Linked DNA regions of Sus scrofa. The protein of the gene in region 1 interacts with the protein of each later gene in a pairwise test. Links are inferred from orthologs where the notes say so. Each region holds a gene or a part of one and is shown on either strand. Other genes may lie near its edges.

What was found.
Region 2: the proteins of FATE1 (region 1) and MARCH2 interact in binary tests that used the Homo sapiens proteins (3 or more experiments, as listed by UniProt). The two-hybrid records come from large-scale screens. The link is inferred for Sus scrofa from reciprocal best matches to the Homo sapiens genes FATE1 and MARCHF2.
Region 3: the proteins of FATE1 (region 1) and SEC22A interact in binary tests that used the Homo sapiens proteins (3 or more experiments, as listed by UniProt). The two-hybrid records come from large-scale screens. The link is inferred for Sus scrofa from reciprocal best matches to the Homo sapiens genes FATE1 and SEC22A.
Region 4: the proteins of FATE1 (region 1) and GPR25 interact in binary tests that used the Homo sapiens proteins (3 or more experiments, as listed by UniProt). The two-hybrid records come from large-scale screens. The link is inferred for Sus scrofa from reciprocal best matches to the Homo sapiens genes FATE1 and GPR25.
Region 5: the proteins of FATE1 (region 1) and MARCH5 interact in binary tests that used the Homo sapiens proteins (3 or more experiments, as listed by UniProt). The two-hybrid records come from large-scale screens. The link is inferred for Sus scrofa from reciprocal best matches to the Homo sapiens genes FATE1 and MARCHF5.
Region 6: the proteins of FATE1 (region 1) and INPP5K interact in binary tests that used the Homo sapiens proteins (3 or more experiments, as listed by UniProt). The link is inferred for Sus scrofa from reciprocal best matches to the Homo sapiens genes FATE1 and INPP5K.
Region 7: the proteins of FATE1 (region 1) and CCDC155 interact in binary tests that used the Homo sapiens proteins (3 or more experiments, as listed by UniProt). The two-hybrid records come from large-scale screens. The link is inferred for Sus scrofa from reciprocal best matches to the Homo sapiens genes FATE1 and KASH5.

The regions. Positions count from the first base shown.
Region 1 is NC_010461.5:123,104,833-123,108,885, reverse strand, and holds the start of FATE1 (fetal and adult testis-expressed transcript protein homolog), read right to left. Parts: upstream 2,801-4,053; 5' UTR 2,736-2,800; coding exon 2,633-2,735; intron 1,693-2,632; coding exon 1,574-1,692; intron 1-1,573. UniProt on the Homo sapiens protein: Involved in the regulation of endoplasmic reticulum (ER)-mitochondria coupling. Negatively regulates the ER-mitochondria distance and Ca(2+) transfer from ER to mitochondria possibly implicating it in the regulation of apoptosis.
Region 2 is NC_010444.4:70,861,678-70,864,564, forward strand, and holds the end of MARCH2 (E3 ubiquitin-protein ligase MARCH2), read right to left. Parts: intron 1,308-2,887; coding exon of another isoform or gene 1,284-1,307; coding exon 1,149-1,283; 3' UTR 501-1,148; downstream 1-500. UniProt on the Homo sapiens protein: E3 ubiquitin-protein ligase that may mediate ubiquitination of TFRC and CD86, and promote their subsequent endocytosis and sorting to lysosomes via multivesicular bodies.
Region 3 is NC_010455.5:137,195,199-137,198,698, reverse strand, and holds part of SEC22A (vesicle-trafficking protein SEC22a), read left to right. Parts: intron 1-3,223; coding exon 3,224-3,339; intron 3,340-3,500. UniProt on the Homo sapiens protein: May be involved in vesicle transport between the ER and the Golgi complex.
Region 4 is NC_010452.4:23,367,965-23,371,120, forward strand, and holds GPR25 (probable G-protein coupled receptor 25), read left to right. Parts: upstream 1-1,237; 5' UTR 1,238-1,356; coding exon 1,357-2,454; 3' UTR 2,455-2,656; downstream 2,657-3,156. UniProt on the Homo sapiens protein: Orphan receptor.
Region 5 is NC_010456.5:103,869,879-103,874,107, forward strand, and holds the start of MARCH5 (E3 ubiquitin-protein ligase MARCH5), read left to right. Parts: upstream 1-1,429; 5' UTR 1,430-1,757; coding exon 1,758-1,792; intron 1,793-4,229. UniProt on the Homo sapiens protein: Mitochondrial E3 ubiquitin-protein ligase that plays a crucial role in the control of mitochondrial morphology by acting as a positive regulator of mitochondrial fission and as an important regulator of immune response.
Region 6 is NC_010454.4:47,735,741-47,739,727, forward strand, and holds the start of INPP5K (inositol polyphosphate 5-phosphatase K), read right to left. Parts: upstream 2,801-3,987; 5' UTR 2,593-2,800; coding exon 2,546-2,592; intron 729-2,545; coding exon 621-728; intron 299-620; coding exon 190-298; intron 1-189. UniProt on the Homo sapiens protein: Inositol 5-phosphatase which acts on inositol 1,4,5-trisphosphate, inositol 1,3,4,5-tetrakisphosphate, phosphatidylinositol 4,5-bisphosphate and phosphatidylinositol 3,4,5-trisphosphate.
Region 7 is NC_010448.4:54,490,489-54,493,988, reverse strand, and holds part of CCDC155 (protein KASH5), read right to left. Parts: intron 1,599-3,500; coding exon 1,521-1,598; intron 1,296-1,520; coding exon 1,239-1,295; intron 995-1,238; coding exon 935-994; intron 207-934; coding exon 142-206; intron 1-141. UniProt on the Homo sapiens protein: As a component of the LINC (LInker of Nucleoskeleton and Cytoskeleton) complex, involved in the connection between the nuclear lamina and the cytoskeleton.

The DNA.
Region 1 (4,053 bases):
ATTTGTTAAAAGTGTACTCCTTTGGTTTGAAGAGGTAATATTAATTCATCAGAGATGAACTAATTCCCTCAACCGCCCCTCCCCAATCCCATCCCACCTCAGTTTCAGGGCATGCGTAGCTTACTGAAGCCTGAGCTAGTGGAGCCACTTGATGTGGCTTCAGCCTTTGAACACCTGAAGCCAATTCAACGTTTATGGCTTCTTTTCATTCCCAAAGGTCTGTGACCTGGGACTTCTTTTTATCTTTATTCATTTGTGGCTGGAATCAGTTCCGTATTTATTATACCCCATTCCCTAGAAGACTCAGATCTCCTTCCTCCCCAATGGGGCCGCCTTTGCCGGATAGCATTTGCAACAGTTTAACAGTCGTGTTTCTAAAAATTGCCCTCATCCAAGGTGAATGCAGCTGGCAGAATCAGCCAAACAACAAGGACTCCAGTGATTTTTCTAGAGGAGTCACGCGTCCCCCTCCCTAAAATGGCCACCATTTTTCCTAGAACGTTTCCTCAGAAGGTGAACGAGGCTTAAGATGCACTGCAGAACAATGGGACTCAGGTGATTTTCTAGAACATCAAGCCTCCCTCCCTCTCCAACCAGGTTGCCTTCCCTCAGTAACCATTTCCAGAGTCTAAAAATCAGGTTTCTAAAACTTTCACTCAACTACAGTGAAAGTAGCTTAAAGGATTGGCTACAGAGCATGAGACTCACATGATCCCCATCAACAGGCCGGTTGTCCTCTTCTGCAACCTGGTTGCCTTTTCCAAGTAACTTTTGCAACAATATAGCCACCATATTTCTAAAGCTTTCCCCCACCGGAGGTGAATGTAGCTGAAAGGACTGGCTACAAAATGATGGCACTCAAGGACTCACTTCATTCCCTAGAGCTGCTCCAAAATGGCTGCCTTTTCCCAGTATCCTTTGCAACAGTAGAAGCACCATTTTTTCGAGAACATTCCCTCACTCATATGGAGTGTAGCTTAAAGAATTGGCTACAAACTGCTCAGATGCAAATGACTGGATTTCCTAATGGCCATGGAGCATAGCAATCTCACTTGCCTGAGTCTTGTCCCATCCCTAAGATATACAGATGTACATATGTTTATTTGTACGTATATCTCATTTGTATATGCTTATATATTTTTATATTTTATATACTTCTACATAGAAATGCATTTATATACAGGAATAAAAACAAAATATAAGATATATTGGGAAAATACAGATATATAGATATACATATGTGGTGATAAATACAGATGTATTTATTTATTAATAAAAGAAAGTGTTATTTCACACACTTTAGAGTTGCACAGAATACGGTATATGTGTACTCCCCAAGCAATGTGTAATTCAGCATTCTGTACTTTCAATACTGAATTCCTAGCCTAACAATAAATAGTCCTGACCTCTTGTTGGACCATGTGGCCCTCATTTCCCTGCCTACTGCACAGGAGCTTCCTCTCTCACCCCTAATTCAACATCTGGCCTTGCTTGACCTCACCATCTTCAGACTTAGATCCCCTATAGCTGCTACTCTCAAACCCAACCATGTACCAAGGTCCCCATATAGTACCGTTTTCTTGGACTTGTTGGCAGCCAAATTCCAAGCTGCAGCAGAATCGGAAATCTTTGAATCCAACTTCTGACGGCTCTGAGAAGCACCCAGGGACCGGATTCCATGCTCCAACATTTCTAGGGAGAAAAATGGAGGTCCCAGGAACACACATACAGCTATACCAAAGCTTCATGGGCACAGGACACACCGGAAAAGGGACAAGAACTTCTCAGGAATCACCAAACACCCATTCACTGATATCCACTGGCCAAACCCATGTCTCAGTTTCTTCATCCATTCAAGATGTAGCAGGTATTTACCGAGCATAAAGCTCTGGGCTACATGACTAAAGAGAGGACAACGGCCAGGAGATAAGATGACAGCAATCAGGAGACTGACCGTGTATTTCTAGGGAGAATGAGGGTGGCAGAAAATACTCTGTCCATGTAGATTCAGATCAATAAAAACAAGACAGAAAGAAGGGGCTACGTCTAGAAAAGTCAGGAACAACACTACGACACAGACCTGAAAGAGTCCATCCCTGAAAAATCTAGAGAAGCCTGCAAGGTATATGGAACAGCTATAGCACAAGGGCTGTGAGGCAGAAACAATCTTGGGATGTACAGTAGGCCAGCAGGCCACATAGGCAGGAAACAGCAGGAAATACATGGAGGAGGTGACCTTGATCAGATCTTGTAGATCATGGTAAAGACTTTGGATTTTACTCTAAAAGGCAGGAGAAGGTATTGGAGAGTTAGGAGAGAGAAATCATTTGATTGATCTTGTAAACTGAGCCTTGGGAATGTTTTGCAATAGACACCTCCCTCATATCATCAATCCCTTTCTCTCCAACTCCCCTGTCACTCAAGCCAGAAATATATGTGTACGTGAACCAAGGCCACCCACACACGTACCCCCAATCCATGCATCAACATACATGCAGATATGAGTATCTGCCAAGCCACTCATGCACAGTTTCCCACACACACACTCACACACACACACATACACACACACACACACACACACACACAGGTGCAGGCACTCAAGGGAAGGTCCATTTCAGGGGCTCCTCACCTGCTATCAGCACTTGCTCGCGGCTAGGCTCCTGGCTTTTAGGAACCAGCTCTTCAGCCAAGGACATTTCTATCTTCTTGGTGTTAGTGGAGCCTCCTGCCATCACAGCCAGCTCTTCACTTGTAAGCGGTGGCCAAGGATGCACAGAGAGCAGAGCACGGAGGACGCTCTGGGAAAATCAGCTCTTTGACGGGTGGGAGCTCAAGGATATATCTGGACATGGGGGTGGAGCCAGACTCCCCCTCTGCACTCAGGCCTTGGACCCAGCACCTCCTGTTCCTGCTGTATCTTGCTGGCTGGGTTCGAGGCTTTGTTCCCTGCTACTCTGTAAGTAACTTAGGGGAAGAGATAAGGCTTGGAACATTTGTCTGTGAGAACCTCCCTGGTTCTTGGGCCACCCAATTTGGTCCCACAGGGGCACGGGCAGGCTCCACGCTGCATCAATTCTAGAAAGAGGTGGGGGGGGGGTCAGTACCCCAGAGCCAGTTTTTGGCCAAAGCAAAGTTACATCCCGGGTCTGTCATGGCTCCTGCAAGGCCGTCTCTGGCCAGTAATCCACCCCCCTCAGAAGGCATCTTCTGTAGAGCATGCCCTGCCTCCCCTCCAGTCCAGAGTTCCCAGGCAGGGCAGATGGCCTTTTGAGGCCCTGGGTCAGACTGCACAGGAACCCTTAGGGCCAAAGGAGGGAAGGCAAGAGAGTAGGGACCTGCCTACAGCCCCTAGAGCCCAGTTATTCCATCAAGCACTAGTCTATGTGTTGCTATCAAAGTCTTTTGTAGCTGTTGTCCATACCTACAATCAGCGGGCTTGAAGTAAAAGATGGGCCTAATCCTCGATGGTGTGGGTAGGCCTCGTCCAATCAGTTGAAGACCTTAAGAGAAAAGAGGTCTCCCAGAGAATTAATTCTGCTCAAGACTGCAGCATCCACCCTGAAGATTCCAATGCGCTGAACTGCCCTGCATATTTTGGCCTTGCTAGCCTCACAATGGCATGAGCAAATTTCTTAAGATAAAATTTTCCAGACACTCACACCCACATGCATATGTACACACACATACACATATATGTATCCTATTGCCTCCATTTCTCTGGAGACCCCTGCCTGACGCAACCACCAACGATGAGCCCCCAAGCCCCTGGGGGAAGAGGAGGCTATCTTGTTAAAGAAACCCAGCGAGCTCCAAGGAGGAAGAGGGGAGGGGGAGAGGAAGGGAGGAAGGAAAGGGCAGGGAGAGGAAAGGGAGGGGCCAGACTCGTTTAGAGAGGGTGGCAAGACCTGGGCTGCCTGACCCCCTCCCCAGCCCCATCTGTCCAGCGTGGGGAGCAAGCTCTCTGGATCAGATAGGATCAGGTCGGAGCGGACAAAGGCCCTGCCTGCATTCCTGAGGGCCCTGGAGAAGTGCCTCCCGGCTCCAACAGAG
Region 2 (2,887 bases), on another chromosome or scaffold:
CCTGGCCTCCCTCAGTGGTTAAAGATCTGGCATTACCATGTTGGTCAAAGATGGGGCTGGGATCTGGTGTTGCTCCATATGCCCTCGAGGGTAAAAAGCTCAGAAAGTGCTCAGGAAGGGGATGCTGTCATTATCATGACCATATTCTGCTTCTTTTCCTGAGTCCTCTTGGAAGGGGACACACAAAGCTCAGCCCCAGGGCCAGGCAGACCCGGGGTCAGCCCCAACTCCACTTCCTAGCATTGTAGGACCCTAGATGGAGCCTTCCCTGCTCTGGACCTCAGTCTTCTCATCTGTAAGATGGAGGTAGTAGCCATTCCTCCCACTGAGAATGGTAGTGAGGGTCAGAGGGAAGATGTCCATTAAGGCTCAGAACTGGGCACCCCTTCAGGGTGACCCTAGGTAAGGGGTAAGGGTGAGTATTAGTTTATTAGTGTAAAGGACCCAGCATGGTGTCCTGCCAATGGTAGATGCAATAAGTGGAAACTATGCTTCTTATGTTTATTTATTTTAAATCATTTAATACATGGCCCTGCTACCTGCTCTTCCTTTGAAAACCCAGACTTTTCTTCTAGCCCTGTGTTTCACAACAGATCCCTCAAACCAGCCGAGAGCATTTGCTGTTGCTCTGTTACCTGTGTGGTCCCTGCCTCCCCTGGGTCCCAGGGTCCCATTTTGAGGCCTCGGAAACATGTGACTGACAAGTCCATTTTGTCCAGCAAGGGCTCCTTTTATTCATTCCAGGGTGGGTTTTTGAAACGTGGTGTGCAACTTTATAAAGTCGAGGGTGCCAGGAAAGTGAGCCTGCCAGGTGCGGAAAAGTGCAAGAAGCTTGCAGAACATCCCGGCCCAGTAGGTGCTCTCAGCTCGCCTCTGGCCACGGCTGCTGGCCCAGTAGGTGGACCTCAGAATGAGATCAGGGTACCTGGTCCATCCGAAGCTCGGGACCACGTCCATCCATCCTCCTCGAGTACAAGACAGTGCAAGATGATCTGATGCTATTTTTTTCGCACGGGATCACAGAATCGGCTCTGCTTGGCATCTCTTGGCCTAAGAAGCGTTCTGGCCGTGCAGGAAGGGTCGGGCCGTGGCTGTCCTTCCAAATTCCAGGGCATTGCCAGCTGCCTCTGGTCCTGCCAGCCCAGCCTTCACACAGGTGTCTCCTCTGCCACTTTCTTCAGGAGTCCAGCGGCCAGCGGGGAGTGTTGGGTGCCCTCAGAGCCATCAGAGGTCCGGATCTTCAGGCGCACTTTCTGGTTGGTTCTTCTCCATTCGGAGTACAGCTGGCAATGGTAGCGGAATGAGACCTGTGGGGCATGGCAGAGATGGGAGGGAGGGCCAGCCACCAGCCAGCCTCCACCCACCCTGAGAGCAGAAAACTGGGCCCCTGAAGCACCTGCCTTGACCCAAACCAGGGCCAGGCTCCCGCTTCCAGAAGTCCAGGCACATGGCACAAAGACAGTGCACAAATACTTATTTACTCTCCCTGGGAACCTCCCCACTGCATTCAGGGCCCTGCAAAGTGGAGAGGCAGAGGGTCTGCAGCAGGGGGTGGGTGTGGGGGAGGAGCTCCCTTTCTGTCTCTCAAGGTGGCAGTGAGGCAGTGAAGTGATAGAGTCTCTTGGGTTTTGGGTTGTTTTTTTTTTTTTTTTTTGCTTTTTAAGGCTGCACTGGCAGCATATGAAGGTTCCCAGGCTGGGGGTCAAATCAGAGCTGTAGCTGCTGGCCTACACCACAGCCACAGCAATGCCAGATCTGAGCCATGTCTGTGACCTACACCACAGCTCGTGGCAACGCTGGATCCTTAACCCACTGAGCCAAGGGATTGAACCTGCATCTTCATGGATCCTGGTCAGGTTTGTTAACCACTGAACTATGAAGGGAACTCCCAGATAGAGCCTCTTGGAAGGGGCCAGGTGTCAATGGGTCACATAACTGCCAAAACTTGGAAGCAACTAAGATGTCCTTTAGTAGGTGAGTGAATAAATAAACTGTGGGATAGCCAGACAATGGAATTTTTTGGGTTTTGTTTTGTTTTCTTTTTTCAGCTGCACTCCTGACTTATGGAAGTTCCCGGGCTGGGGATCGAACCTGTGCTGCGACAGAGGTGATGCCAGTTCCTTAACCCACTGTACCACAGTGGGAACTCTCAGACAACCGAATGGTATTTGGTGCTAAAAAGAAATGAGCTACCAAGCCATGAAAAGACATGGAGGAGCCTTAAATGCATATGACTGAGAGAAAGAAGCCAATGTGAAAAGGCTATAGACTGCATTATTCCAACTTTAGAACAGTCTAGAAAAGGTAAAATTATGGAGACAGTATAAGGATCAGTGGTTGCCAGGGGCTGAAGGATGGAAGGATGAACAGGCAGATCACAGAGAACAAGTTTCAGGGCAATGAAAATTTTCTGTATCCACTCTAGTGGTGGATACATTATACATTTGCCTTTTTTTTTTTGCTTTTGCTAGGGGTCAAATCAGAGCTGCAGCTACCGGCCTATACCACAGCCACAGCAACTCAGGATCCAAGCCATGTCTTCGACCTCACAGCCACACTGGATCCTGAACACGCTAAGCGTGGCCAGGGATCAAACCTAGGTCCTCATGGATACCAGTCAGATTTGTTTCTGCTGAGCCACAGTGGGAACTCCTATACATTTGTCTTAAACCCACAAGTTGTTCAACACCAAAAGTGAACCCTTGGAAGTTCCCTGGTGGTTCAGTGGGTTAAGGATCCGGTGTTATCACTGCTATGGCTCAGGTCGCTGCTGTGGGGCAGGTTCAATCCCTGGCCTGGGAACTTCCTCATGCCACGGATGTGGCCAAAAAAAAGAGGAGTGAACCCCTAATGTAAACTATAGACTTAGGGTGATAATGTGTCAATG
Region 3 (3,500 bases), on another chromosome or scaffold:
GGCTGCACCTGTGGCATATGGAGGTTCCTAGGCTAGGGGTCTAATAGGAGCTGTAGCTGCTGGCCTATACCACAGCCACAGCAACATGGGATCCAAGCTGTGTCTATACCACGGCTCACGGCAGCGGTGGATCCTTAACCCACTGAGCAAGGCCAAGGATAGAACCCGCAACCTCATGGTTCCTAGTCAGATTCATTTCCGCTGCGCCACAATGGGAACTCCATGGTGACACTATTTTGGATTCTATACATTTTATTTTTTCTACATTGCCTCTCATTTCTTCATGTCTTATTGTTCCAAATTTGCTCTACCTAACAGTACCTACCATGGTGCCACATTGAAGTGTGAAGTATTTGTGGATAACAATCTAAGATCTGTTTTAGTGAAAAAAAAATATATATAATGTAATACATTAAAGTGTGATTAAATATCTCATTCAGTTTGTTAAAATGAGAAAGTGTCCTTAGGAAGTGTCACCCTCACTGTGTGCAGATTTTTCTTGGTAACCATACCCTCTGGTCCAAGAAAGGGCTCGGATGGGAGCAGGGAATCTCCACTTGAGGATTTTATTTCTTGAAGTGATTTGGCACATCTCCAGCCTGTCCTAATGCATGCCTTGCCCTTGTTAAAGAAGACTTGTCATTTGCTTTCATGGCTTTAAAATACTTCTGGTCATTTTGAAATAATTTATACATTGTATACTGTCATTATGGAGAGAGTGCTCTAAGGGCAAGAGGCAAGTGTTAGAAACTTAGTAAATATTTAATTTGTATAGACATATTATTTATTTCTTAAATAGGTATTCATCAACACATAAAAATGGTAATATTTTTCCATTCAACAATGGCCATCCTTCGAGTTCTACTTGTGGCTCAGCAGTTAGTGAACCTGAGTAGCATCCATGAGGATTTGGGTTCCATCCCTGGCCTCGCTTAGTGAGTTAAGGATCCGGTGTTGTCATGAGCTGTGGTCTAGGTCGCAGATGTGTCTCAGATCCCATGTTGCTGTGGCTCTGGTGTAGGCCAGTGGCTACAGCTCTGATTCAACCCCTAGCCTGCGAACCTCCATATGCTGCAGGTGCGGCCCTTAAAAGAGCAAAAAGAGAGGGAGAGAGAATGGGCATCCTTTACTTGACCATAAAAAGTGAAGGTTTTTAATTTTAGTAAAAAGTGAAGGTTTTTAATTTTAATACAGAATATTATTTGGCCTTTTTGTAAGGTAACCTCGTATACTTTAGAAGTGCTTTTTCTATAATCTATTCGGTTATCAGATGGTTTTATACTTGAGGCCCATGCTAAAGATTTCTTTTTTACTTAGAGGCCAGTTCCCCCTTATGAGGAGGGGTAGGGGAGGATGGCAGGAGGGATTTAAAACATGACTAATTGGTAGATCAGTTAGGTGTGTTTTGTTGTTGTTGTTGTTTTGTTTTGTTTTGCAATGCCCTTGGCATGTGGAAGTTCCAAGGCCAGGGACTGAACTTATGCCACAGCAGTGAACCAAGCCACTGTAGTGGCAATGCTGGCTTCTTAACCCACTGCACCATAAGAGAACTAGATTTTTAAATTGTGAGATTTGTTTTCTCTAGTGATAGAAAGTTTGGTATCATTACTTTACAAGACATTTAATTTTTTTGTTTTCACTTTAAAATCTAAAGGAAATTGATTGGGAGACCAAGCAGTAAGCTTGGGCACAAAAAAAATTTAAGAGAATGTTATCCTCTATTAGCATTTTCTTTCTTTCTTCATTTTTATTTTATGATTTTTTTTCATTATAGTTGATTTACAGTATTCTATTTCTACTATACAGCAAAGTGACCCAGCCGTACATGTATATACATATGTATATTTTTTTTATGATTTTCTATTAGCATTTTCTGCTGAACTTAAAGAATAAATACTTTTTTGTGAAATGTGGAATTTTCTGTTTATGAATTGTTTCGGAAAGCTTTTCTGCTTTGAATATAAGTTGCAGAGATTTAAATCCTTCCTTATATTAATGCTCCACCTCATTAACTTCATTGTTAGAGCTTTTACGCTTCAGTGATTTAAATAAAATGATCTAAATGTAGTTCTTTTGTCTTCTCTTTCCCTCTCTCTCCCTTTTGAGGTCTCGATGGTTACGTATTTAGTTTTGTGTTTTCATTTAGACTCTATGGTTGATTCTGTTAACTGCAAGATAATGATGAAGAGAAGCTCTTATATAGCTAAATGTCTTGCTGCAGAGCCCTGGTAGATAGGGGAATGTGTTTGTAAAATAAACTAGTCACTACTTAAACTGTTGTTTTAGCATTTTTATCTTCAAGTGGTGTTGGGAGACCAGGAACCTTCTAAGAGTCCATTCTATTGTAGAGTTCAGATTGGGTGTGTGTGTGTGTGTGTATGCTTTCACACATATCCCATGGTATTTATGACCCCGATTGCGTGTGTGTGTGCTTTCACATATATCCCATGGTATTTATGACCCTGGAACCCAAATAAAGAAGGGCTTTGCTTAAAAGCAAGCTATGTTTGGGAGTTCCCGTCGTGGCTCAGTGGTTAACGAATCCGACTAGGAGCCATGAGGTTTCGGGTTCGATCCCTGGCCTTGCTCAATGGATTAAGGATCCGGCGTTGCCGTGAGCTGTGGTGTAGGTTGCAGACGCGGCTCAGATCCTGTGTTGCTGTGGCTCTGGTGTAGGCAGGTGGCTACAGCTCTGATTCGACCCCTAGCCTGGGAACCTTCATGTGCTGCAGAAGTGACCCTAGAAAAGGCAAAAAGACAAAAAAAAAAGCAAGCTATGTTTGTCCTTTAAAATGTTTTCTAAGCATTTTCAGAAAAGTGGGAATTATGCAGTGAATTTCTAAGCAAAGCCATCTTTGCAAATATTTGCATCTGCTTGCAAGTGGTAGACATATATAGGCGGTATGTTTTTTTCTTATATGATTTTTACTGCCAGGTGTGCGCACTCCTTAGCACTGTATACCCAAATGCAAGTTAGGTGTCTGTTGAAAATGTAGAGAAAAAGAAGTTAATTTAAATTGAGTTCAGAGGAATAAAGCTGTCATGTCAGACGTTTTGCATTTAAAAAAATTTTTATTTCTAAGTTGCATTATGAAATAATTTTATGAAGATTCATCTATATGTAACTTGTTTAAATTGAGCAGTAAATTTCGTTTTACTTAAGCGTAAGTATTGATGTGAGACGTTGATGTTCATTTCTAATCTTTTTTTTTTTTCCCCCCAGCTCACCAGCGACTAGAACCAGCAACTCTGTCAGGGATTGTGGCATTTATCCTTAGTCTTTTATGTGCAGCTCTGAATTTAATTCGAGGCTTTCATGCCATAGAAAGTCTCCTGCAGGTACTGTGCTATTTTTGCAGTTTCAGGTGACTGTGCCTATTAATTCTGCTTGTTACACTATTGATTTAAATTGATTTGGATGTTACCAGTGCATATTCAGATTTTGTATTCTTTATACCTACTCTAGTTTCCATTTCCTTTAAAAACACTAATTTCTAGTT
Region 4 (3,156 bases), on another chromosome or scaffold:
GGGAGAGGTTCTGACTCCCTCTTCCCATCCAGAAGCAGCTACTCCCTCCTCCCAGCTCCCTAAGGACCATTAACACGACAGCACGGCTGACCTTGAACAGGCATCCTGCACCTGGATCTAGCTCCTCTGCTGAATCAGTGACACTGCCCCCACAAGGTCAAAAAACGGGCATCTGTCGCTCTCGAGATACCCCAAACAGTGCCTGCCACATGGTGAGGCTATTAAGGACTGAATCAAACAAAACAGATAATTAATCCGCTTCAAAGTTGTAACGCCAGGTTGCCCAAGGGGTCATTCATTCCTGGTGATGACACACACTGTCACATCAGTTCCGGAACAGCAGTCATGGGAGGACGACCACTTAAGAAGAGTGGGCACCCCGCCTCCAAACTCTCCTTGGGCCCACCGGCTCCTTCAAGGCCAGTCTGCACCCCCACCCCCCTCCTGAACCCTCCCCTGCCTCTCAGCCCATAGGGCAGCTCACTCTTCTTTGAGAGGCCTGACTTCCGACTCCAGATGTCGGAGAGGGACCTCAGGTGCTGAGTCAGGCATCTTCTGTCCTCTTTCATACTGAGCTCACATCTGCCTGTGGCTCCACAGGAAGGTTTTGGCGGATGGAGGGAGTCAGGGAACCGCTGGGATTTGAATTCCAGCTTTCTTCCAGACAGGCTGTCGCTCTCTCTTCAGCTTAAAACCCTTTCCCTTTGGCTCCACGAGAACCTGCCCTGGTCAGAAAAGCCGAGCTCTGGACTGAGACATTTAATCCGGCATCTCTGCAGGCCAACACCCCTTAGAGCCTGACTGGAGGTAGGCCCCGGGGGGTTTAGGCTCCCCCCACCCGATCTACTGTGCCCAGCTGGCACAGCTCCGGGTCCTGTCTCCTCACAGAGATGGGGAGCAGCATGAACAGGGGTGAGAGATAGTGGGAATGGGGATGGATTGGGGCGTTCCCAGCCTCCTGCACCAGCGTCAGACCCCTGAGGCATCAGCGACTGATGGAGGGAGGGACAGGCCAACCTCCCAGACCTGAGGACTTTTTCCCCAAGGCCCCCCACCCACCCTACCCCGAGCTGGGAAGCCCGCCCTGCCCGGGAGGCCAGCCCCAAATCTTCAGCCACGTCTCCGCCACAGGGGCCTGCCCTTCCCCCCTTCTCCCCTTCCCCCCTTCTCCCCCCCTTCTCCCCCTCCTCCCCCTCTCCCCACCTCCTCCTCCCCCACCCCTTCCTGCCCACCCAGTCGCTCCGGTCGAGGTGGCAGGAAGGGAGGTGCTGGGCACCGGCCGTGAAGAGCCATCCCGCGCTTGGCACCGCGTTTGCCCGCTCGCTCGGCACCGCGTCTGCCCAGGCCTCGCTGGCCATGCGCCCCACGGAGCCCTGGAGCTCCAGCCCGGCGCCGGCGTTCTGGGACTACTCCGGGTCGGGCGCCCCCGAGGAGCTGGAGGTGTGCGCGGCCCCGGACCTGCCCTACAGCTACGCCTACATCCCCGCGCTCTACCTGGCGGCCTTCTGCGTGGGCCTGCTGGGCAACGCCTTCGTGGTGCGGCTGCTGGTGGAGCGGCGCGGCCCGCGGCGGCTCGTGGACACCTTCGTGCTGCACCTGGCGGCCGCTGACCTGTGCTTCGTGTTGACGCTGCCGCTGTGGGCCGCGGCGGCGGCGCGGGGAGGCCGCTGGCCCTTCGGCGAGGGCCTGTGCAAGCTCAGCAGCTTCGCGCTGGCCGGCACGCGCTGCGCGGGCGCCCTGCTGCTGGCCGGCCTCAGCGTGGACCGCTACCTGGCCGTGGGCCGCCCGTTGGCCGCGCGCGCCTGGCGCACCCGGCGCTGCGCACTGGCCGCGTGCGGCGGCGTGTGGGCCGCGGCACTGGCGGCCGGCCTGCCCTCGCTGGCCTTCCGCGGGCTGCGGCCGCTGCCCGGGGGCGGAGGCAGCCAGTGCGGCGAGGAGCCGTCCGATGCTTTCCAGGGCCTGAGCCTGCTGCTGCTGCTGCTGACCCTGGCGCTGCCCTTGGCCGTCACCGTCGTCTGCTACTGCCGAGTGTTGCACCGCCTGCGCGGGCCGCCGCACATGGGCCGCGCCCGGAGCCGCTCTCTGCGCATCATCTTCGCCGTCGAGGGCGCCTTCGTGGGCTCCTGGCTGCCCTTCTGCGCCCTGCGCGCCGTCTTCCACCTGGCGCGCCTGGGCGCGCTGCCGCTGCCCTGCCCCCTGCTGCTGGCGCTGCGCTGGGGCCTCACCGTCGCCACCTGCCTGGCCTTCGTCAACAGCTGCGCCAACCCGCTCATCTACCTGCTTCTGGACCGCTCGTTCCGCGCGCAGCTGCGGCGGCGCGGGGCCTGCGGGCGCGGCGACTCCATGGCGCGCGGGAGCAGCTCGGCGTCCTCGCTCTCTGGCGACGACAGCTCCCCGTTCCGGAGCCAGGGCCGCTGGGGGCCCCGAGCCCTGACTTCCGCGGCGGTCGCGTAGCTGTGGGCAGCAGCGGAGCCCCGAGGAGCCGGAGGCGCAGCCACACGGGCCGGCCCCTACCCCCCACCCCGACCTGCCTCCCGGACCTGCCTCCCCAGGCTGCTCCGCCGGCACTGCCAGCTCTCCCAGAACCTCAGCTTTTCCAGCCTCCCCAAGCCAGGCGGCTGAGACCAGCTCTTCTCTCCTTCTGCCCAGTGGCGCCTGGTCTAATTGTCCGCAACCCAATAAGAGGCTTGTGCGATGGAGCCCACGGCAGCGGGGGCACCCGCGGGTCCCCCAAATCCGGGAGAAGAGAGTGGACCTGCCTTCTCTGCACCATCAGCGGTAGCACAGCCAGACCCGCAGAAGCACTCTTGCTTGTCTCAGGCTCTCCCTTCCAACCCCTACAATCGCCTCTGCCTTCTGAGAAATATCTTCTCCCAGTCAGACCCTCTGGCCCCTCACTGAAAATCCTATGTGGGACCTCCTACCTGCAGCCCTCCTTGGTGGCTGAGATCTTGGCATCATTACTCACCATCAGTTCAGATCTTCATTTGCAAAGCTCATCAAAGCGCGGGAACCAGCCTTGCTGGGGGCTCCCCAGGCCATTCCTCCTGGTGATTTCCCAGCTCCAGGCCCTGGGTTTATATCCCCACCCCTTCACCCCCACCTCCGCAAGCAGCACCACTCACCCCAGAAGCTCTCCTGCCCCATCCCTCTGGA
Region 5 (4,229 bases), on another chromosome or scaffold:
CTGACAATTGCTTAAGAGATAAACACACAGCAAGGGACTTAACACAGTAGGAGTAGCAATAAATAGGCATTCACAATATCAAACACCCTAAATTACTTATTTCTCTCCCCTATCAAGGGCCTGCTTCTCATTTCATGAGAAAAAAGGCGGAAGCATTAATTATAATTAGTCATGTAAATTTCTAAAGCCTTTCATAAAAGTATCTTTCAGAAATTGGAGGCCAAATAAACTTCTAGTCACATGTTATTTTTGTTTTTCTTCCTGGCAATGTACACTCTAGTTCAAATATATTCAGGACGCAAACTTTAAACAGAATTAAGAGCTGATTGTAAAATTCTACGTTAAAAAAAAAAGAGCTTAAAAAACATTTTGATTTGAAGAAAAAAAAAATCAAGCCTCTTGCGGCAGAAATTAGACATAATCAAGGGAAAACTACCAGACGTCGTACCAATCACTGCACTAAAGAACGCCACAGGTCGTCCAAAAGACGCATTCATTTTAACCAACAGCTCCTTTCCTCCCGCCAAAGCTGTCCCTAGAACATCAGAGAACAACCCAAGGAGCGATTTATGATTTTTCCCTTTTGATTCCCCCCCACCTCCATATCCATCCATCCACCTGCCTGGAGGTGTCAAGGCGCCTATAAATGGTTAACAGTGACCAGAAGCAGAGAGAGAAACAAACACCCCTGACAACCCACAGCTGAGTAAGCAAGAGCTGTTTATTCACGAACATGTTCCATTTGGAGACTATCGGAGAGCCCTTGAAAGCCCGGGCACATTTAGAAGGTTCCTAGAGAGGGAGAAAATAATCTTTCCCCCAATCCCACCTCCCCTCTCCCCTCTCCCCCACCCCATCCCCCGGGGCAAACATACACACTCGGGTGGGAACCATCTGGTCACGGCAGCCCCTGTCCTCCTGACCCCTCAGGAATAACACTAGAGCATCCGACCCTTTGCGGGGGTTGTGTAATTCCCCAAAATGGGTTCAGATGCGGCAGAGGCTGGCCCCTGCGCCGAGAGCTTCAGAAGGCGCTTCTGCCACCCCCACCCCCGCCACGGCCCGCCCGGACGCCGCGGCCAGGACTGGGGACCCTGCTGAGAAATGGCTCTTTAGCCCCCACCCCTCACCTGGCTCGGTCCCACCTGAGCGCAAAAGCGGAGAGAAAAGAAACAGGCAGGGAGGGCTGACCTTGATGCTACTGACAGTGGAGCGGCACATCCTGCTGCTTCCTGGAAAGCGGCCCGCAGGACATTTTTCCCCCTGGAGGAAGGAAACGGGAGGGCGCCGGCCGGGCGGCGGCGGGCGCAGCGGCGGTGGTCTGGGCAGGCTGTGCAGCCTCTAGCGGGGACGGTCCGAGGACTACATCTCCCAGGCTGCTCTGGGCCGCCTTGCGTCGTGACCCCGGCGCGCACGGAGGCGGTGACTCTTACCTCACAGAGGTAGCTCCTCCGCCGGCAGCAACTCGGCGCCCGCGGTCCATGGACCGGAACCCCGGGCCGACGGGCAGGAACCCGGGCCGCGATCGCCGCCTCCCCGCCCCAGGCTCCTCCTCCTCGCTCCCCACCGCCTCCTCCGGGCGCCCGCGGGCCGCGCACCGCCACCGCTGGGCTCGCGGAGCCGCCCCGGGAGGCTGGCTGGCGGGTTCGTGGCGGCCGCTGGACTGAGGCCTACTCCGCCGCCTCTCAGTGCTATTGTCCCTGGGCCCGGCCCTGACCGGGCCCACTGGGGAGGCGAGTGCGCCGGCTCAGCGGAAGATGCCGGACCAAGCCCTACAGCAGATGCTGGACAGGTACGGACAACCTTGGGGGAGGACGCGAGCCGCGGACTCTCGCTCCGGCCCTGCCGCGCCCAGCCTCGGGGCTCTTCGGAAGCGGAGCCCGGCGTGCTGGGAGGAGTTCCACGGCCTGGGGGCCGGGTGAGGGGCAGAAAGTTTGGAGCCCATACGTGGGAGAGGACAGAGCGGGTGGCCTGGATGCGTAGACCTAAAGCGAAACTTAAAGAGTGCCGTGTAGTATTGTTCGAACGCCGTTGAGAAGTGAGAGGGGTTCGTATTAACCCACAGAATTAGTTTCTTTTTCTTACTCTTCTCCCCTCCCCCCAAACTTTGTTGTAACGTGTTTGTCAGTGATGTCACTGGCAAGGAGAACCAGACTCTTTTCCTGGGGAGTGATCCCCCTCCAATTTTAATACTTATTCCAAGATAAGCATTGTTTTGGAAAGCCTGATAGGCTGATTACATTTCTCCTAACTCCCCCATCCCATCCCCACCCCAGGCTGTAAGGTCAAGAGTATCCGCAAGGGACTTTAACGGTCAGACCAAAGTAGAGGTTATGGAAAACAGCCATGAGTCCAACCCTGAACACTTAGCATATTTTACTATTCGTTGAGTTCACAGAGCAAGTTTCATCTTATTTTGGGGCCAGCTCCTGGGGGCTCCAGGGGGTAAAATTCTGTGAAATCGGCTGCACCGCCCTCTGCTGTTCATATTCTAGTCCGTGGGTTCTATCAAGAGTTTTTGGGGATCGGTAATCCACATTTCCCCCTAAACCAGGACATAACTTCCCAGCATAGCCAATGCTGCAGGCTAATAATGCATGTTTGGTTGCCTACACCTTTCAGTAGACCACTTGTCCCCTTGTTCAGCATGAGGTACAGCTCTTTGTACTGAGGGAAGGTCCAACTGGAAGGTGTTAAATGAAAGGCCTCGCTTAAATGAGATATACCCAATTAAATGCTGTTTGGATCTGCCCCACCCAGAACACACATCCCCCAAGAGTAGGCCTCCTTCCAAAGTGACAGACGTTTCCTTTGGAGCTTAGAATTTTGAGATGTCTAAGTTGATAGAAATCATGGAACTGACTTGTTTATTAGTTGGGGTGGCCCAGTGATTAATCCAGCCCTTGTTTGATGAGAGCATTCAGGTCTGGTTGGTTGTGTTGACTACTCCCTTCATGTAAGCAGTTTACAACCTCCTGGAAGATGGCAGCTTACTCATTATTTATTTTGAATCCCACATCAGAGCCTGGTACTCAGCAGGTCCTCAGTATATATGTATTTGTTTTTTGAACAAATGCATGAACTTTTTGGTCATTTTCCCCAATTGTCTAGGGGTTTGATAATTTACCATACTCACAAATTTCATAGGATACTGAAATATACCCAGAGAAGTCCACCTTTCTGCCACTGCCAGTTCCAATCAAATGAGACCCTATTCTGGTGCAGGGTATTTTGTAATTAACTTTTTTTTTTTCCTCTGAGGGAAAACCACTTTTATGTAGGTGACTTTTAGTAAACTTTTGTGTCTGACTTTCATATGTTCTTTGGAGATTTCCATAAAAGTTAAAAAAAAAAAAAAAAAAAAAAAAGAAAGAGAGAAAGAAAGAAAAAAGCCAAGAAGTACTAGTGAGGCATTTAAAACATCTCAACAGGAACTTGGAAATTCTGGCAGCATATACTGAAACAAGTGACTGTAATTCTGGCTTCCCTCATCTTCTGTACTTCTTGTATATACCCCAAGAAAGATTCTTAAGATGACATTTAGAGATCTTGATTATCTAATCAGTATTTTGCAACCTGGCCACATGTTAGCATCACCTGAGAAGCATTTTAAAATATGGATGGATTCCTGGCTCTGCCCAAGACCAGTTAGTTTACAAATTTCTGGAGAATGGGACCTGAGCATGTATATTTTCAGACACTTTTCAAATATTTTTTGTGGTTGAAAACCACTACAAGAGATAGTACAGCTGAATGAGATAAGCTTGGGCAGAAATCTTGATGTTCTTATTTTTCTGCTTACCAGCTATGTGACTTTGCACTCAAATTCTAAGGCTCCACATCCTCATTTATAAAATGGCAATATCCTACCTCACCAGATTGTATAAATGAAACATGTTTAAGCACTTTATAAACAATGAAACACTATTCATATGCTGTGCACACAGAAGGTACTTAAAATTCTAGTGTAACCAACCACTGTAGCAATCCCTGCCCCTCCCCCATCCTCTTCATATTTACTATCATCTTAATCTAGGCTGGCCCTACATGCAAATTGAATGCAAAGATACTTAATAGGTTGATTTGAGGAGTACTGATGGGCCCAAGAGAGTAAAATATGTCAACCTATTAGGGCCCAGATTTCTTGTCATGAATTTGGCTTACCCCCAGCTTTTCTTTGGGTGGCAATTTCTGAGGGGCATATTTAGCTAAGAAACTTGCCCTTGTGT
Region 6 (3,987 bases), on another chromosome or scaffold:
CTCAGCTCCAGCTACCTTGGAAAGACACAAGGCAGGTAGGAGCCCCAGGGAACCAGCTGCGACTGCACCTGAGGTTGGGGCCTTTCAAAAAAGGGAAAGAGCCCGAGAGCCTGAGAGGGAGACCAAGGGACTAGGGATGCGTGCAGGAGGGGAGACACACTTCCCAGGTGCCCGTGAACTGTAAGTTACCTTGACGAAGCTCAGAGGGGAAAGCACATCCATGAAGAAACTGCTCCACGGGTCTTCAAAGGCAGTGTCAGAAAGGAGGCTCATGATCCCACAGTTCATTTCCTGCAAACTGCCCATCCCAGGTCAGAGGCCTTCCCCCGGCCAGGAGGGCCCTGCCTCTGCCTCGGACTTTTAGTCCTGCCCTCAGCTGGCCTCGGGTTCTCGTGACGGTGGTCTCCCCTCCCCTGGCTGATGATGGGCAGCCCCTTGCCCTTTATGACCCAGGAGAACAGACGCTGCATGGCCCTGACGCAGCCTGAAAGCTCCAGGCCTTCAGGCCCCAGAGCAAGGGTGTCCAGGCGACAGCGGTTCCCCACGGGGACAACTTGGGACCGGTCGGGCTTACCTGAGCTCAGACACAGGGGTGGCGGACGGGCCCTGCAGACACCTACCCAATGACATACACGTCCAGATTCAGGTTCGGGGTGTGCAGCTGGAGCAGATCACTGAGGTCTGGAGGGGGTGCTGCAGAGGCCACGTTCCACGTCACGACATGTATGCTGAGAAGGGAAGCCACGGAGGAAGGAGGATGAGATGTCGTCCAGGTACCAGACCGGGGGCTGGGTGGGCGAAGGGCTGCACCACAATCCCACAGTCGGCGGAGTCAGAATGGGAAACGCATGTTTCTGCATCTGGAGGAGGGCACAGGGCCCCTTCACCTCTATCCCCTGAAGCAGGAAATTCCCACCCTGGATTGGCTCCTCTGTGTAGGCCCATGGCTGCCTGTGCCTGGCAACGCCAGTGCAGAGCTGCCAGCACACTAGGAGAGCTACCAGCGTGGCCCAAAAGTCAGGCGAGGGAAGGGGTGGCGATGGGGTGGAGAGTCCAGAGATTTATTAATTCCACCAGCCCTTCACACCTCAGCAGTCATCTATGGGTCAGTCAACTTCCAGCTCCCCACCCTTCAATCCATGGGTTCCGTCCACCACCAGAGAGATTCTGGAGGTTTCAATTTTCACCTTGTGAGATGGCTTAGGACTACAAGACAGAGGAATTTCAAAAATAACAGAGATAAAGACACCACATTTCCTTCCCACTCCTTCCTGGAGCATAACCAATTCTGCCAAGCATCTCAGAGAGCCTAAGAAGATTCCAAATAACAAGTTTCTCAACATCTCAAGAGTCTAGCCTCTTTTGGGAAACGTCATCAGCTGGATAACATTTTCCATGTTCATACAAACACTTGGGAAGCAACACATCGAATCAGAAGCTCTCAATAACACTGGATCCCATCTGAGGCTCCGGGGAAGGACAGACTCGCAAATCTCTTCATTTGAAGAGTTAAAGCAGCGCTCCCAGGAAGCCTCCAGACTGTGTGGAGTACAGGGCAGGCAGGGGCTACGAACCCTGCAGAGACCAATTAGAGCCACCAAGCCTCAGGTGACTCCTAGGCACATCACAAGGAGGCGAATCTCTAACAGCAGTCGACCCATCGTGGGGGGTGGGAGAGAAGGACAGAATGTCCCTAACATCTCTTCCCCACCAGACGCTGTTCTTCGAGGTCCATGTTCTAAAAAGCACAACTGCAAGAAATTCTTGGCCAGCGTACAGCAACTTCCTGCCCCTCCCTACGAACATCAACAAAACAATACAAAAACCACCTTCCCAGGCCCTCGGCCAGAGATTCTGTGCTTCGATTGTTTACGATCTCCCCCTGCTGTCCAACGGAGGAGGAAGGAAGGCAGCCCTTTCACTGCAAGGCTCCTTGTTCTTCCAGGGGCCTGCTCTAAGTGCATGGAGAGCCAAAGCCGGGATTTTTGGTTCCCACTTTTACGAAGGACGATTAGCAGCAAATCCTTGCATCGTGACCGGCTCTGAGCTGGTGATTAGCGTTGTTCCTCGTTAAAGAGCAAGCATGGGACCAGGCTATTATCACTTCACTAAAGGATGTTATCCAAATCTGATTTCGGATTTCAGGAGGTCACAACGGGATCAGGCAGACCCCATGATGTATGTGCTGATCCAAAGAATAAGATTTCTACTCCAAAGCTAAGGAGTGAATGCTTTGTTATGTTTTTAACTTCAAACAGCTCAACACTGCTGCCTCCTCAAGAAGCCAACTGGAACACCTACTTGGAGCCCCCAAGAGGGAACGAGCTTAGCAGCCTAAGTTTGGAGGGGGCGCGAGGTTCAAGCCCAACATAGCCCTCTCGTACCGACCTGGGAGAATGTGGGAGGCCTCTGAATTAGAAGCAGCCCTGTAGGTCTGGCCCCTTCTCTCCCAGTCTGGTTCTGCCCCAGATCCGCAGCCCCAACTGAGTCGGAGGCAGTGATTCCGCCCGGAGCAGGCGGGCCTGCCTGTAGCCGCCTTCCTCACCTGAGCGTCCTGCTTCTCGGTTCGGTCTGGGGGTTCGTGGCAGCCATCGTTCCCACGCGGTGCCCCGGCTGGTTCGCGTCTCCCAGCCTCAGCGGATCCTGGCTTGATCTGTCCCGATCGGGTAGCAGGTGCCGGTCAGCTCACTCGCTCGATTGTTTTTCTTCCGGATTCCGACCCTCCGCCTCGGCTTCCGTAAGAGGCGGGGCCTAGGCGCACGGAAGGCTCTGGGTGGCGCGGCCCGGGGGAAGAGGCGGGACTCTCCAACGAGCGCGAAACGGTGAAAGGCGGAGGGGAAAGGGGCCAAGGGGACGCGGGAACGCAAGGGGCGTGTCCTCCTGTCATCAGAACCCGACGCAACACTGCCCCGCCCGGCGGGGGCGGGGCGGCGATCCAGACACCGCCCCCGCGGCTCCCAGGGTGCCTCGCGTAAGGCCGGCCGGGAGGAGTCGTCTTCCGGCGGAAGTCGCTGCCACGCCCAAGCGAAGCTCTCCTGCGTGCCCAGGCTCACTGTTACTGAACGTGGTCTGGGGCCTCGGTCCTCATCGCTCCGTCCAGGTTCTCAATGCCCAGAGGGGCGAAGGGGCGCAACCCAGCCGTTGTCGGCCTATATAATCCAGTCCCCCACCCCCCCGCCCCCGTTACAGGTCATCTCTCCTCTTGATCACTGAGCGCCTCCATTCTCCACTCCCATGTTCAAGTGTTTCCAGCTTTTCAGACTCATGCAAACTATTACACATTGGACGTTTAGGGGCTCCTGAACTCCGAAAGTTACCCATCACTGAATGAAAACTAAGTCGCTGCCTCTGTTTTACGACCAAACGTGAATATTTACTGTGCCAAAGATTAACTATGATTTCCTTCAAATCACTGGTTCTTAACATTTGGGAGACGGAGGGGTGGGACAGTGCATGGGATTCCTTTGAAGACCTGGTGAGAGCCTGGTGTGACTGGTGTGACCTGGTGTGACTTTCCCCAGAAACATGCACACTTTTACAGACAAGCTTCATGAGATTCCCAGGCCCAAAAGCCAGGGTAAGGGCTCTCTTAAATAAATGTTTTGCTTGGTAGGATGGGAAAGGGGCGGAATGTGAAGAGGGAAGACAAAAGCGAAAAGGAAATATTGCCAGCAGAAAATGGTCAAGTTACATTCAGATATGGGATATCTGCATAAATAAAATAAGGGGATGTTTTAATTTACGGAAATAGACCTGCACAACTTTTCGGAGATATCCTGTACCTTTTCTAGTCCTTCCTTGGTAAAATGGGGGATGTCAGCCAGAGTTGGAGAATATCTAAATTGTAAAATGGACAGAAGGACATCACCAATAAGCTGGACTCCAGAAAGCTCTGTCTAGGATTTTATTAGACTGCTTTTTTCCCCCAATATATCTGTATTGGAAGATTGAGACAAAAAGGCACAAACTCACATGAAATAAACAAGG
Region 7 (3,500 bases), on another chromosome or scaffold:
GGAAGGCTACCTCTGAGCCTGCCCGCCACCTGTCAGTCAGCCTATGCTGGGGTCGCTGCACTGCCCATTCAGGGCTGGAGGCCGGTGGGCCCTGTCTTTGGGGTCCCCTTCTGCCTCCTCCACCCCCACTGTTTCACTCACTCATCCAGACCCTCATGGGTCTGACTCAGCTGCTCCTCCAAGTGTGAGATTTCCAGCCTCAGTTCCTGCAAAGGAAGGAGTGGGGGCCCACTGGCTCTCCATTCTTCCCCATTCCCCCACCCCCAGGCTCCTCTTTCAAGGTCAGCAGCAGTGAAAGTATCGAATCCCAGCCACCAGACCACCAGGGAACCCCCTCCCTTGACCTCTTTGGGCTCCTCCAAACACCAAGGGAGAAGGGGAAGAAACAGCGACAGACACTTAGGAAGCCAAAGAGAGGCAAAGAGCAACAGGAACCCTGAAGGTAACCTACCCTCCAGGAAAATTCAGAAAAGAAGGCAGAGCTGGAAACACATGGAAAATGACACAGATGGAAACAGATTCACAAAGAGGCAAGAGACACAGGGGGTATAAGAGACTCTAAAGACCAGAGACAGAGAGGGGAGTCACCCCAGGAGACAGACAGACTAGACCCAGGGAGATGCAGAGACGAGAACCTAAACAAGCCAGGCAGAGATAAAGAAATAGGAGGCTGTGGTGAGAATTCACCCCCAGAGAATGCAAGTGGCTGAGTTACGGAGATACAGAGAGAGAGAGAGAGAGAGAGAGAGAAAGGAAGGGACCGAGGAAAAGTGAAAAGGCCAAGCGACGAGAGGGGAAGACACACAGTCAAACAGCAGAGACAGTAAAAACAAGACGTGGAGACTCTGAAAGAGACTGACGGAGACAGAAAGAGGCAGCAAACCCCAGAGACGGCAAAAGAGAAGTGGGGGGAGTGAGGCCGCCGGTGGGTTACCTGGGTTGTGGTTCTGTACTCCTCCAAGGTCTTGGCCAGACTCTCGGCATGGCGAGTGCGCTGGGAAAGGCCAGAGCTGACTGAGACTGGGCCTAGGCCACCAAAGGCTGGTGCTGGGGGGGAGGGGTCTGGCAGGGCGGGCTTGGGGGAAGAGCTAGGGCCTGAGGGACAGCCCCGGTTTCCCGGGAAGCCCTCTGATCTCTCCGGACTGCTATCCAAGGATTAGAGCCAAGCAGGACTTCTCTTTTCAGACTCCAGGCAGGAGACACACAGAAGGCAAATGTTTCTCCCCCAGACCCCTCACCTCGGAGAGGATGGCATCTCGTTGGCAAATGAGGCGTTCACACTCATAGAGCTGCCGCTGCCAAGGCAAGAGTCAGTCTGTCTGTCTGGCCTGCCCTCCCTGGCCCGCCCTGCTCTCCCAAACCCCTCTCCTCAACCCCCTCCATGTCTCTGGACATCAGCCACACTGAGGGGGATTTCAGCTGGTTTGCCCATGAGACCTGGGAACCTGATGGCTTGATCGAAGTCCCTGCTCTCTCCAGGGGCGGTGGGAAGTTGTCAAGGCACTAGGGAGGGGTGGCACCTTCAAAGCATCCTTTTCGGTGGCCAGCTCCTCACTCCTCCTCTTCACTCCATCACACTCAGCCAGCAGCTTCCCGTTCTAGAAGAAAGCACCCAGGTTACATTTACATCAGCAAATGGCCATGTTAATACTCTATTGACATGGAGTGTCAATATCGACATCTACTGAGCACTTGATGTTCACTGGGCCTCATGCTCATCTCTTTATATGTTGTAGCCTATTTAATCCCTCCATCCAACCATCCTATGGGATCCCAAGTTTGACTTGCAGACGGAGTTGGTCCTCTCCCTGCAAAAAGAGAGATACAATAGGACGCATGGGGTGGCTGGGAGGATTAAATAAGCTAGTAATTATTGCTAACATTTACTGAGCACCTTGCCAGGGTTAGCTTGTTTCTTATCCCGTATTTTATTTTTATTTGTCTTTTTGTCTTTTCTAGGGCCGCACCTGTGGCATATGGAGGTTCCCAGGCTAGGGGATGAATGAGAGCTGCAGCCGCGGGCCTACACTGCAGCCATAGAAACTCGGGATCTGAGCCTCATCTACGACCTGCACCACAGCTCATGGCAATCCTGGATCCTTAAGCCACTGAGCGAGGCCAGGGATCAAAACTGCGTCCTTATGGATGCAAGTCAGATTCATTTCCACCTAAGCCACGATGGGAACTCCCTTATCCCCCATTTTAAAGATAAGGATAATTGACAGAAAGGTTGAGGAATCTGGCCCAGGTGGGAATTCATAAAAATACATGTTTCTGAATGTTAATGAGCACAAAGCATTTGGAATAGTGCCTGACATATACCAAATGTTCATTAAATGTTACATATATATATATATATATACACATATATATATATATATGTATTTTTTCTTTTCTCTTTAGGGCCACACCTGTGGCATATGTAAGTTCCTGGGCTAGGGGTCAAATTGGAGCTGCAGCTGCTGGCCTACATCACAGCCACAGCAATGGCTAGGTCTGACCTGCATCTGTCACCTACACTGCAGCTTGTGGCAACACCAGATCCCCAACCCACTGAGAGAGGCCAGGGATCTGCATCCTCATGGAAACTAGCTGGATTCTTAACCTGTTGAGCCACAAAGGGAGCATGTAATATTAAAAAGATATATCCCAGTATATGTTATATTAAAAAGATATTTCTAGGAGTTCCCTGGTGGCTTAGTGGGTTAAGGATCCGGCATTGCCATGAGCTGTGGTGTAAGATGCAGATGTGACTTGGATCCTGTGTTGCTGTGGCTGTGGTGTAGGCCGGCAGCTGCAGCTCGGATTCAATCCCAGTCTGTGAACCTCCATAAGCCGCAGCTGCGTTCCTAAAAAGCAAATAAATAAATAAATAATCCCTTAATATCATCACCCACTCAGTACTCTTTCCGTTTTGGTTATCTAACAAATATCTTTGCACTTTTAGTTTGTCTGAATGAGGATCCAAACAAGGTCCACCATAGCTTTTGTTTGAAATGTCTCGTTTCTTTTCATCTGACGGTAACCTCCCAATTTCCCAATCCTGGCACTTCTTCATTTGTGGAAGAAACCAGGTTTTTTTTCCCTGCAGAACTGGCACATTTGAGCTTGGTTCACTGCCTTCTTGTTTCCTGTGCAGGATGTTCACCGCGTTCCTCCCACCTCATTATTTCCTATAAACTGATGGGTAGATTCTGGACCTTGTCTAGACTCTTGTTCAATATTTCTCTTGTTCAGTTTTTTGGCAGCAAGGTTTCATGGGTGCTGCTATATGTGTCATGCTGTGCCATTCAGGAAGAATGTCAAGTCTGGCTGTCCCAACTGCTAATGTTTACACTGTCATCATCCCCAATTTTACAGAGGAAATGGTGCAGTGGAGGGGCTGAGGTCAGATAGTAAGTGGACTCAACCCAAATCTGATTCCAAGTCTGGCCCTTTTAACTCCCAGACTCTCCTCTGAGCTAGATGCAGTGCTGGGTGAGAAGGGGGAACTGGCTTCA